2 linked regions of the Rattus norvegicus genome follow. The protein of the gene in region 1 purifies or fractionates together with the protein of each later gene. This does not show direct contact. Links are inferred from orthologs where the notes say so. Each region holds a gene or a part of one and is shown in the gene's direction. Other genes may lie near its edges.

Region 1 (5,596 bases):
CTTTTAGTCTTTGGTTTAGATGTATAATGCGTTTTATTCCATATTGATTCCAATGAGCAATGTGATTCCTTAATACTAATTTCCAGTTGCACGAGTTCTCAGTTCCTTAAGTTAGCCTGAGAAGTCTCTGCTGTTGGAGGATGGTGCTTCTCATGTGAAATGTGAGGGGTGAGGAAGTTACCTGTGCCTCTTTCCTCTCACAGCAGCAGGCAGTGGTCAGCAGTGCTCCACCCAGGAGAAGGTCAGTGCACAGGGCCCGCAGTTCGTGACTGGAGTGATCGTGAAGATCCTGAGCGAAGACCCTCTCCCAGGCAGGAAACAAGTCAAGGTAATACTTATGAACCCCATGTGACATGTTTTCAAAATAGTATGGAAACAAAACAACTCTAGTCAGAATTTGTACCTCTCTGTAAACTGCTAAGAGAGTCCAGGGTAACTCTGACAACTCTTAGCTTTACTCTGAATACCAAAATTCCTCAGGATAGAAGCCTGAACGCCTGCCTTTCTTGTTTCCCTAATGGTTGGTGACTGTACTTCCGTGGAAAATGATAGTGATTTGACCTTGGAGTTGTTGAGATATGTATTCAGTGTTAAGCCTTGAAGAGCTTTTCATCGATAAAGATATTTGATGGCATGTTTTGTTTGTTGGTTGGCAGGATTTTTCAAGACAGGCTTTCTCTGTATTCCTGGCTGTCCTTGCACTCACTCTGTAGACCAAGCTGTATTTGCCAACCCCAGGTTCTATTAGCTTACATCTGAAAACATGGTAACAATACAGAATGTAGCTTAATAACCTGACAGTAAGCAAATGCTGTGCAAGCATGGAGGCCTGGACTCAGTCCCAAGCACACAAAGGAGAATTTGGTAATGCAACAGTTGAAAGTCCTGTTGTAATTACTTAGTTGTTCTGAAACAAAAACTGAGCTCTGTTGCTGTCACTGATTACCAGATTAATTTGTCATTATATGGGTTTTTAATTAGGATATTAGCCTGACTTTATAATGGATAAATTGTAAATGCCTTTTGAACTGTGGTACTCTAAACTATCTGAAAAACTGATTATAAAACTCTCACCACGAATAGGAAACCCATTACAGTTTCATCAACTCAGTGCAGACTGGTCTCTTGCTGTGTCTTACGTAGTAATGATTAACTGGGTAACAACATTGGAAGGCTCTCAGGTCTCATTCTCTCTCTCTCTCTCTCTCTTTTTTTTTTTCCTTGATTGATGAAGGAAACATTTTTCAGTATGGAAGTTCCTGTCTTACAGAGCATGTGTTAAGGGTGAGCTTCTGTCTTCTAGGCCTGCAGTTCTCTTGTCCGTCACAGTTAAAGGATACACTCTTTTATCCTACAATAGCTAAAGTCTCAATTTTTTTTCTAAAACATTTTAAAAGAATTTGAGTTATTGTGCCTAGAAAATTCTATTCTATACTAAACAGTTTCTTTATTTCTTTAGTTTTAATGAGTGACATTTAACAATAAGATTACTGTAACATTCCTGCATAAATGCAGTGTGTTCTGTGGAGAACCTGGTGTGAGGAAAAAAACTTGATTAAGAATGCAGGAATCTCCTTAATTAGAGCTCACAGCAGGTGTTATAGGTAAAACTCTTCCTTGCTGGGTGACCTCAGCTTGCTTAGAAAAGGTTACTAAGGTATTTTATCTAAAACTGAGAGCTGTTGGGCTGTGTTCCAGTAAACCTCCCCAAGAGCCTTCAGTTTCTGTCCGTTATTGTACAATGTTGAGAGCTGGTTCTCTGTGTTCATTCACACGTGGTGTTGTGTAGGTGAGTGCGACTCAGCTTCTCCAAGCCTCTCCTCCTTGTATTTTCCTCTTCTTCGTACTAACCTCCTTCCAGCTTGCTGAGCGATGGGCCATTTCTGTTCAACTGTACAAGAGTTCCCTCAGCTGATCCCCTTGTCAGTTCATATTTTAAAGTCACATTCAAGAGGATGAGCTACAGTAATTTGCCATACGTTGTTAAATTGCTTCTCATTTATGTGTAAATGTATTTGAAGAGTAGTTCTGTATATTTTAGAAATATTTTATATATTTACCCATCAACTAGAGAGTAGCTTGATAGAATGCATTTTGTAACCTCTGGTTACATTCGTTTATTGTCAGACATTGTTAAGGTGATTTTTAAGTTTTCATGTTTCTTTCCTGTATAGGATATTTTGGCCACAATCTCAGAAGTTGTTTACATTGATTTGCTAGAAGGAGATACTGAATGCCATGCCCGATTCAAAACCCCAGAGGATGCTCAGGCAGTAATGAATGCACAGACTGAAATTAAAAAGAAGCACAGTTGGAACCTCGAGATCCTTTCTGGTAAAACCCAATTGTGTTTCTGGTGAACACTTATTATTGTAGGGGATTCTTTTACTTGTTCTGCACTGGGCTAATGAACCTCTTCCCCCAAACACTCGAGCTGGTGGTCAGAGCTTTTGCTTCTTTTTAAGGTGATCATGAGCAGAGGTACTGGCAGAAGATTTTGGTAGATAGACAAGCCAAACTTAATCAACCTCGGGAAAAGAAAAGAGGCACAGAAAAGGTAAGGAGTCGTATGCATCTTCTGATGGTAATAAATGAGGATGAGTTCACTTGTATTTCCTCTTAGAGAGTACTGCTTCAGACTGAAAAAGAATGCAGATTTCTCCTGCTTTTGGAGTAGATGGAGTTAAGATGCTTTCTCACAAGGATCCATAACTGTGATTGCATTTTAAGTGGACCCAGTCCTGATTCAGAGCTGCTAGGCTTTGTAGGTTGCGGATAAGTGCCTGTAGAAAGATTTTCTTCTGTACAGGCTTGACACATGTGAAGTTTCTGATGGCCACGTTTTTTATGATAAGTGGCACCAGCAAACTGAAATAATTAAAACAAACTGATTCATTCAACAGTTTTATTTCTATGATAATTAATGTAATATGTTGCTCACTGAGAATGACATTTATTCTATGAAAGCAGATGATTGTTCTTTTAAATATTGTTGTAGTAGAAGGGCTTAGAATAGACTGTTAAGAACTTTGAAAGCCATGGTGCAGATTTCCTATGCATATTGGCTTGGTGTGTTTTTTCATTTTCCTCCTTTGGCATTGATGATGATTGACAGGACACTTGCCACTGTTAGGTTTTGTCAAGTTTTTTTCTTGAGTGGAGACAGGGAGGCCTCCTTCCTTGAGGCTCTTTCTTCTTGAAGGTGTGAATTTCAAAACTAGTTCAGATGGCAATGTAGTAATCCAGAACAGATAGGTAATATTTATTCTGCTAATTAGTGTGAGGGTTTGTTTGAATTGGCTATATTTTTTTGAACTAGTCATTAAAACATTTTATTTTTAATCTTAAAACCTTTTTATTTTATGTATATGTGTACACTGTCACTGTTCTGGTGTGTCCAGAAGAGGGCATCAGATCCCATTACAAATGAGCCACCATGTGGTTGCAAGGAGTTGAACTCAGGACCTCTGGAAGAACAGTCAGTGCTCTTAACCATTTCTCCAGCCCTATTTTTAATTTTTAAATTCTTTATTAATCACTTTAGTCTCAAGCAAAGAAGTGCTTTACCTAGCATTTTGTAAAGTTAAACTGGGATAACAACAAAGCAGTTACTCTTTATGAGTTAACATGCTTCATTATCAGGGATGTTGGCGTGATCTAGATAGGAACAACTGAAGCTAGCTGCCTTCACAGTTTGAAATTCAATGGAGCTGCCACCCAGCTAGAAGAAAGGGAACCACAGCTAACCATTTGCTAATCTCACTTGTTTTCTGGTGCTGGAGATTGAACTCAGCTCCCTGAGGGTGTTAAGGAGTGCTTCCTCTACCTCTGGACTACCTGCCACAGCTGATGCTCTCTGTGCTCCTGCAAACAGAGCAGTAGGCGTGGATAACGCATTCCTGTTCTCCCTTAGCTTGCTTCTAAGCAGTGCCAGTGTGGCACAGAAGATTAAACCAGGCCGCTGTCAGATCCACTTAAAAATTCAGAAGTGCAACATTTTAGGCTAAAGTAATGGGAATTATTAAGTACATAGAGAACAATGACAAAATTTCAGTGATTATGACATAATTCCTTCCTTATATGACAGCTCATTGATTCCATGAGTTAAGGACAAAAAAAAAAAGAAAACAAACAAACAAAAAAACGCAAGCAGATCAACAGAAAGTGTGTTTACTCTCTGCACAGATGTTTGCATATGGCAATCAGGCAAATGTAAATGAACTCAGGATTACGAACATAGGAAACTATGACTTGATTTTCTGCCCCAGGTCTTGGTGGGATGTGCTTTAATTTTCACTTCTTGGAAGCCAGGAATCAGCCAAGGCTCAAGGCTTTGCGGTGCTGGGTGAGGGTTTTTTTATTTCTTCACTTCAGCTGTTTAAATATTCTTTAATACTTTTAATTAATTATTTTTACATTTCATGTAGATGTGCCTGTGCCACAGCATGGAAGTTAAAGGGCAGCTTCTCCTCTTGTCATGTGGGTCCCAAGGATGGAACTCCTGTTGTCAGGCTTTGAAGGAAGTGCCCTATCCCAGAGGCATCTCCCACATTTTTTAGATGTTTGACTTTGTTTTTAATCAAAATGGACTTTTATTGGAATTACTGCTGGATATTACCCAGCTAAAGACAGAATTCCTGTTTGGAAACACATCATTAGTGTGTTAGGCTAGCCAGAATTTTTATTCTTGCCATTTGTAAACAGTGTTTTAATTGAATCCTGTTATGGCCTCCTATCAACAGGTATGACATTAGATTTGATTAATGGATTGAGTGATTGAGACAGGGTTCCTGGCATCACACACTGACCTCAAGCTCACTCAAGCCGAGAAAAGCCTTGCACTTCTGATCCCCTAAAACTAAGCTATAACTTTTTTCTGCTAAGGAAACATTTTGCTGACTGTCTACACCTACAGTCCCAGCTACTCAGGTTTTAGAAGGTGTAATTGGCACAAAAGAATTGTAAAATTAGGTAGGTGTCTTAAGGTCAGCCTGATCTCCATTGTGAGTTCCAGAACAGCCAAGGCTACAGGGAGAAATCCTGTTTGAACAAAACAAAACAGCAAAGAATCACATCATATAAGAGGTAGAGTGAAAGAAAACAAGCCTGGTATGATGGTACCCACCTTTAAAGTAGACAGATACGTGGTATCACATACTTTCTATCCTAGTACTCTAGACACAGAGGCAGGCAGATCTCTTAAGTTCAAGGCCATTGTCTGCAGAGCAAGTTCCAGAACAGCCAGGGATATACAAAGAAACCCTATCTCAAAAAAACCAAAATAGGAACTGGAGAAATGGCTCAGTGATTAAGAGCACTGACTGCTCTTCCAGGGGTCCTAAGTTCAGTTCCCAGCAACCACATGGTGGCTTACAACCATCTGTAATGGGGTCCGGTGCCCTCTCCTGTTGTGTCTGAAGACAGCCGCAGTGTACTCTTATACATAAAATAAACAAATCTTCTCTTTCTCTCTCTTCCTCTCTCTCTCTCTCTCTCTCTCTCTCTTCCTCTCTTCCTCTTCTGCCTTGACACGATAAAAAAAAAATAAATAAATAAATAAACAAATCTTTTAATAATCATAATAAAGTGTACATAA
Region 2 (6,294 bases), on another chromosome or scaffold:
GCCTCCCAAGTGCTAGGATTAAAGGGAGCCTCACATCAAGGCTGACTACCTAGCTCCTTTGTTTTCTTTTCCTTTTTTTTTTTTTTTTTTTTTGGTTTTCTGTTCACTAATCAGTGTGTGATCCTAGGAGATTTAGAAATGTCGTTAACCTGAGCAGTATTTCAATAGAAAATCCTATTGAGGTGCTGAGGAGTTTAGCTCTTCCAGAGGACCTGTTGTGATGGTACACCGTCACCTGTAACTCCAGCCATAGGACATTAACATCTCTGGCCTCCCTGGACACCCTCGCTTGTGCTTATACCCCAACACAGAAGTGTACATATAACTGAGAGAAAATCTGTAAAAAAAAGGAGAGAAGGAAGTCATGTTGCATGCTGAGTCAGAGCACAGGATACTTCTTGCCCTTCTCGCTCTCCTGTGATTTTGTTTTTGGTTTTTTTGTTTTTTTTTTTTAAATAATGGAGAGTTTTAGTTTAGGGTTGAGACTCGAGGGCTCATGACACTCTCTGTTTCCTTCCCTTTGATGTCAGCCTGCATTTGACCACATTTAGCCTGCAGTACACACCTCCTGTGGTGGCCTGTGTCTGCATCCATCTGGCTTGCAAGTGGTCCAACTGGGAGATCCCAGTCTCAACTGACGGGAAGCACTGGTGGGAGTATGTTGACGCCACTGTGACCTTGGAACTTTTAGATGGTAAGTTTTAGTGTAAGGGACCTTGAAACGCACGTCTTGATTTGTCACATATCTGGCCAGACATGACCTGAAAACAGTGAGTTAGTTGAGGTTATTCTTGTTATTATTGCATTCTTGTCTCTGAGCATTTCTTGAATGTTTCATTTGTAGAATTGACACATGAATTTCTACAGATTCTAGAGAAAACACCAAGCAGGCTGAAACGTATTCGGAATTGGAGGGTAAGACAGTGCTGACAAACATGTTGTGTGTTTCTTTTGACTGCAGCAGTGCGTATGCCAGAATCCATGTGTGCACTGGCTTTGGAGTTTCCTTCTTACTTAACAGTAGCTGTGACTTTATAGCATGGGTGTGAACTAAGATTCACTCTTTAGGGAATAAAAGAATGTAGGGGAATGGTGGAATGGATGGAATTATAAGGTCAAGTGTAATTTTCTCTATGATATTAGTTACTTTAAAAATGTTTTAGGGCTGCTGAGGTGGCTCAGTGGTTTAGAACACTGGCTGTTCTTGTAGAGGTCCTGGGTTCGATTCCTAGTACCCGCATAGTGACTTATGATTACCTATAAAGGGATCTGATACCTCTCTGACATACAGGTATGCATGCAGATAGACACTCCTACACTTAAATAATTAATTAGTTAATTAATTAAAATGTGAAACCTTTAAAAATGTTTTATTTTTCTCTTTTCCTTCCTCCATCCCTCCCCTCCCTCCTTCCTTCCTTCTTAAAAAGATTTATCATTACAGTTGGGCATGGTGCTGCATACCTTTAATGCCAGCACTTGGGAGACAGAGACAAGAAGATCTTTCTGAGCCTGAGACCACCTGGGGCTACATATACTGAGACCTGGGGGTGGGGGAAGATTGATTTTTATTTTTGTGTATGAGTGTTTGCCTGCATTTGTGTGCATGCAGTACCTGTGGAGGCCAGAGGTGTCAGATCCTCTGGAACAGGAGTTAAGTGGTTGTGAGCCACTAGAGCTGCTGGGAACAGAACTCCTCAGCAGCAGCAGCAGCAGTTTTCTTAACTGCTGAGCCGGGTCTTTACCCAGGGCTTTCTTCTTCAGTGGGTTGCAGTGGAGCTGTGATGCCGATGTCTTAGTCTTATGAATAAGAAAGAGTCCCTCCCTTTCCCGCCAGTGTCAGACGGACTTGGAAGCACTCACATGCACAAGGCCCTGCATTCAGTCACCTGCACTCAGAGACGGACTAGATCCTTCCTTTGCCCAGCTCCTCTGAGATAAGGTCTCTTGGAGCTCCGGCTGGCCTTGAGCCTTGCTGTTAGGAGGCTGACCTTGACTCTTGATCCTCTTGCCTCTGCCTCTGGTTTAAGTCCTGGGGTTAAGTGCTGGGATTGCAAGCACGCACCACCATGCATAGAAATTTCCTTTATTTTTTATTAGTTCAGACTAATTGTAAGTTTGGCGAATTATAATTTTTGCCTCTAGAAGCTTAGAGTTTCTTAAATCTTTTCTTTTCATACAAAGCCTCACAAATTTTCTAGAACTTATTTAAAGGCTGGCCGCAGCCCTAGGCAGTTATACTGAATGTTTAAGATCGGCTTCCTTTTCTCGGTGTAAATGAGTGCCTCTTAAGTACTCAGGGGTAGAGGCAGGAGGATCTCATATGCCTGGTCTCAAACAAAAACCCACCTCCAGTACAACAAAGGAACAAAAAGCCATGAACAAGTTCTCTGTAGGTGTTGTTTCCGTGTATTGCAACTTAGTAAAATGCTTGTTGCTTCATTCTAGGCATACCAGGCTGCCATGAAAACCAAACCGGATGACCGGGGAGCGGATGAAAACACATCGGAGCAGACGATTCTCAATATGATTTCTCAGACCTCTTCAGACACAACTATCGCAGGCTTAATGAGCATGTCAGCCGCGTCTACAGGTGCAGTGCCTTCCCTGCCTGCCTCTGAAGAGTCCTCGAGCAGTCTAACTAGCGTGGACATGTTGCAAGGCGAGCGGTGGCTGTCTTCTCAACCTCCCTTTAAACTAGAGGCTTCTCAGGGTCATCGGACTAGTGAGAATTTAGCACTTATTGGAGTTGATCATTCCTTGCAACATGATGGTTCGAATGCATTTGTTTCCCAGAAGCAGACTAGCAAGAGTGTGCCATCAGCTAAAGTTTCACTTAAAGAATACCGTGCAAAGCACGCTGAAGAGCTGGCTGCTCAGAAGAGGCAGCTGGAGAACATGGAGGCCAATGTGAAGTCACAGTATGCATATGCTGCCCAGAATCTCCTATCTCATGACAGCCATTCTTCAGTTATTCTGAAAATGCCCATCGAGGGCTCAGAAAATCCTGAACGTCCTTTTCTGGATAAGGCTGACAAATCAGCCCTGAAAATGAGACTCCCAGTGGCTGGTGGAGATAAAGCGGCCTCTTCAAAACCGGAGGAGATAAAAATGCGCATTAAAGTGCACTCTGCAGGTGACAAGCACAACTCTGTAGAAGACAGTGTTGCCAAGAGCCGAGAGCACAAAGAGAAGCAGAGGACTCACCCGTCTAACCACCACCACCACCACAACCACCACTCACACAAGCACTCTCACTTACAGCTGCCAGTTGGCCCTGTGAGCAAACGACCAAGTGATCCAAAACACAGCAGCCAGACAAGCACCTTAGCACACAAAACCTATAGCTTGTCTAGTACTTTGTCTTCTTCAAGCTCTACTCGTAAAAGGGGGCCCCCAGAAGAGACTGGGGCAGCAGTATTTGATCATCCAGCCAAGATTGCCAAGAGTACTAAATCATCTTCCTTGAATTTCCCCTTCCCGCCTCTTCCTACAATGACCCAGTTGCCTGGGCATAGCTCAGACACAAGTGGCCTGCCCTTTTCACAGCCTAGCTGTAAAACCAGAGTTCCTCATGTGAAACTGGATAAAGGCCCTCCTGGGGCTAACGGTCACAACACAACTCAGTCAATAGATTATCAAGATACTGTGAATATGCTCCACTCCCTGCTTAGTGCCCAAGGTGTTCAGCCCACTCAGCCCCCTGCATTTGAATTTGTCCATTCTTATGGTGAATATATGAATCCGAGAGCTGCTGGCATCTCCAGATCTGGCAACACAGACAAACCTCGGCCACCACCCCTCCCGTCAGAGCCCCCTCCACCTCTTCCACCTCTTCCTAAGTGAAAAAAAAGGCAAAAACTTCAAAAACAAAAAACACTTTTTTGTTTTGTTTTTTTCTTTTTTGTTTTGACTACTGATACTAGACTACGAAAATTACATCCCTTATGAAATATGTCACCTAAGGAATAGATTGCTATTTGAGACAGGTGGGGGGTGCTGGAGGGCCTCAGTTATTACATCTGCTGCCTCCTACACCTGTAGTTGGTACCGGTGTTAGAGAGGTAGGGTTGTGTGGAAGCTGTGAAGGAGGACTAAGAACGCGCTATGGCCTCTCCTCATCCTAACTAGGTTGATTGGAGTAGTTCTCTTCCCTCTTCTCGCCAGAACTGGAATGTGGAGGGCGTGTCCAGCAGTGTGGATTCTTTTGGGGTTTAACATATCAGAAGAGAGGAAGTATTTAAACGTCAAATCTTTAAGAGACTTTTAAAAAATAATTTAAAGAAAGTAAGTTATCTGTTTAGTTTTTTTTATATATAATTGGGAAGGGGAAAGGGATTTTGCTGTGTGTATGAGGAACATAGCAATGACTGGGGGTCGGAGGGTGGGAATGTGTGCAGGTTGGGCGGGAGGGTAGGCTTTGGCCAAGAGTGAAATAGGCTCAGGCCACTTGAAGTATTGAGATCTTTAAAGTGTGTGCGTGCGTGCGTGTGTGCGTGCGTGCGTGTGTGCGTTTAAAATCATGTTACCTTTTTCCTCCCACTCTTAGCCATTTTCACATCTCAACATTCTATTAGAGAGCATAGTTGGCCTTGAAGCTATAAAGAGGCCTGTAATGACAGTGTGAGTCCTCCCCTCCCTTCGCCACATGGTTATCTTGTAATTGAGTAGTAGCCCTCTAGCTTCTAGTTTGGGCAGGTGTAGCCAATGCCCTAACTCTCTAGCACCATTATGGAAACTTCCCTTTTACTCCATTTTGAGTTTTCAATGCGGAATGGAAGTGGGCTTGAGGAAGAAGCCTAAAAGCAGGGCTGGCCAATTCCCTACAGAATCCAGGTTGGGCTTTGTGAAAGCTCAGGTCTCTGAAGGGAAGAAAGGTATGCTTGCTTGTCCTCTCTGGAAAAACCAGACCATGTGTGATAATAGGATTGGGAGAAGCCAGGGAGTTAATGATACTAAAGACAATGAAATTGTGATTTGGGAATCTGAAGACTTTGTGTTTGTTACATTATGAATGTAAGATTTGCTTTTTATCTGTTTATCTAATGGGAAACAACTGCACACTTGCAGTTTGCAGCCTGTCTGACTTGAGAGACGGTTGGAATTCAACAGCATGGTGTAACGAGTGAGCAAGGCCGCTAACAGACAGTGTTTAGATCGTGTCTTAGTGGGTGGCTTTTGGTTCTAGACAGATGCTTAAAGTCCTTGAAAATGGTCGGTCAGGAGTCCTCTTAGGGGCTTGATTGTTCCAGACATTAGACGTAAATATTTTTGATGAAGGAAATCTTTGAAGAAATGCTGACTAGGTAAAAATTGTAAGCCAAGCTGTCTAACTGAAAATGCTACCTAGCCACAGATCATTGCTGGTTTGTTTTTTTTTTTTGTTTTTATTTTTTTGGTTCATTGCATGAGTGTGTGTGTGTGTGTGTGTGTGTGTGTGTGTGTGTGTATACACGTGTGTATGTGTAGGTTTTTTTTTTTTTTGACTATGGATAAGATGGTGCTATGAAAATAATTTGTCTCTTGTTTTAATTAATGAAGCTTCTGTCGTGCCAAGTAGTTTTTAGGGGAGAAGTCAGATTCTTTTCATTGAAAGTCATAGGGAAACAGAAGTTGTACAGGTGCTGCTTGCCAAGAAGAGACTAGGAAAACACCGAGGCAGTTACTCTTGTGGATGATATACTGGCCCCATAAAGGCAAGAAGGTATAGGAAGGAGTATATCTTAGGGTGACTTTGTGGTTCTTAATCTGCATGTTTGAACTGTCTGGAGTACCTGCCATTGCTGTGCAAAATAAGGAGCTCCTTGCTGAGAAACCAGTGACAGTTCTTGGTGTGTGACTTTAAAGTGACATTTTCTCTCTTGGTATTTCCTGTGTTGTGCAAGATAGATGTGTCATCATGATTACTAAATTTAGGCTTGGCGTTTGTTTAGATTTTGTTTCCCATCCTGACCTTCCCAAAAGGGGATGATATACCCTTTATTTTGTATCTTTGTCTGGAATTGATGATTTGATTTTGGCTGGGTTTTTTTAAATTACTTTCGTTAATGTCACGTATTTTCTGATCACATGCAGTCCCTTACCAGAACGGCTGTCATATTTGCAGTCATGGCATTTCTTCACAGTAGTTAATACTGTAGTTGAATTTTTTAGAACTCTGTCTGTAGTGGACTAGAGATAACTGCTTATTAAAGCCTACAGAGCTACTTCATGCTGTAGTCTGGTCTTTACTGTAGCTCCACACTGAGTTTGGTTAGTTTAGAGACTTTAATATATTACTTCCTCCTGGCACTG

Evidence for each region. Proteins that work in one complex are often made in the same cells at the same time.
Region 2: the proteins of Larp7 (region 1) and Ccnt1 purify together in Homo sapiens (affinity purification with mass spectrometry; 10 studies listed by BioGRID and IntAct, with this or other methods). This does not show direct contact. The link is inferred for Rattus norvegicus from reciprocal best matches to the Homo sapiens genes LARP7 and CCNT1.

The regions. Positions count from the first base shown.
Region 1 is NC_086020.1:218,673,195-218,678,790, reverse strand, and holds part of Larp7 (la-related protein 7), read left to right. Parts: intron 1-203; coding exon of another isoform or gene 204-206; coding exon 207-328; intron 329-2,174; coding exon 2,175-2,334; intron 2,335-2,465; coding exon 2,466-2,557; intron 2,558-5,596. UniProt on the Homo sapiens protein: RNA-binding protein that specifically binds distinct small nuclear RNA (snRNAs) and regulates their processing and function.
Region 2 is NC_086025.1:131,568,227-131,574,520, reverse strand, and holds part of Ccnt1 (cyclin-T1), read left to right. Parts: intron 1-530; coding exon 531-694; intron 695-844; coding exon 845-915; intron 916-2,448; coding exon 2,449-3,846; 3' UTR 3,847-6,294. UniProt on the Homo sapiens protein: Regulatory subunit of the cyclin-dependent kinase pair (CDK9/cyclin-T1) complex, also called positive transcription elongation factor B (P-TEFb), which facilitates the transition from abortive to productive elongation by phosphorylating the CTD (C-terminal domain) of the large subunit of RNA polymerase II (RNA Pol II).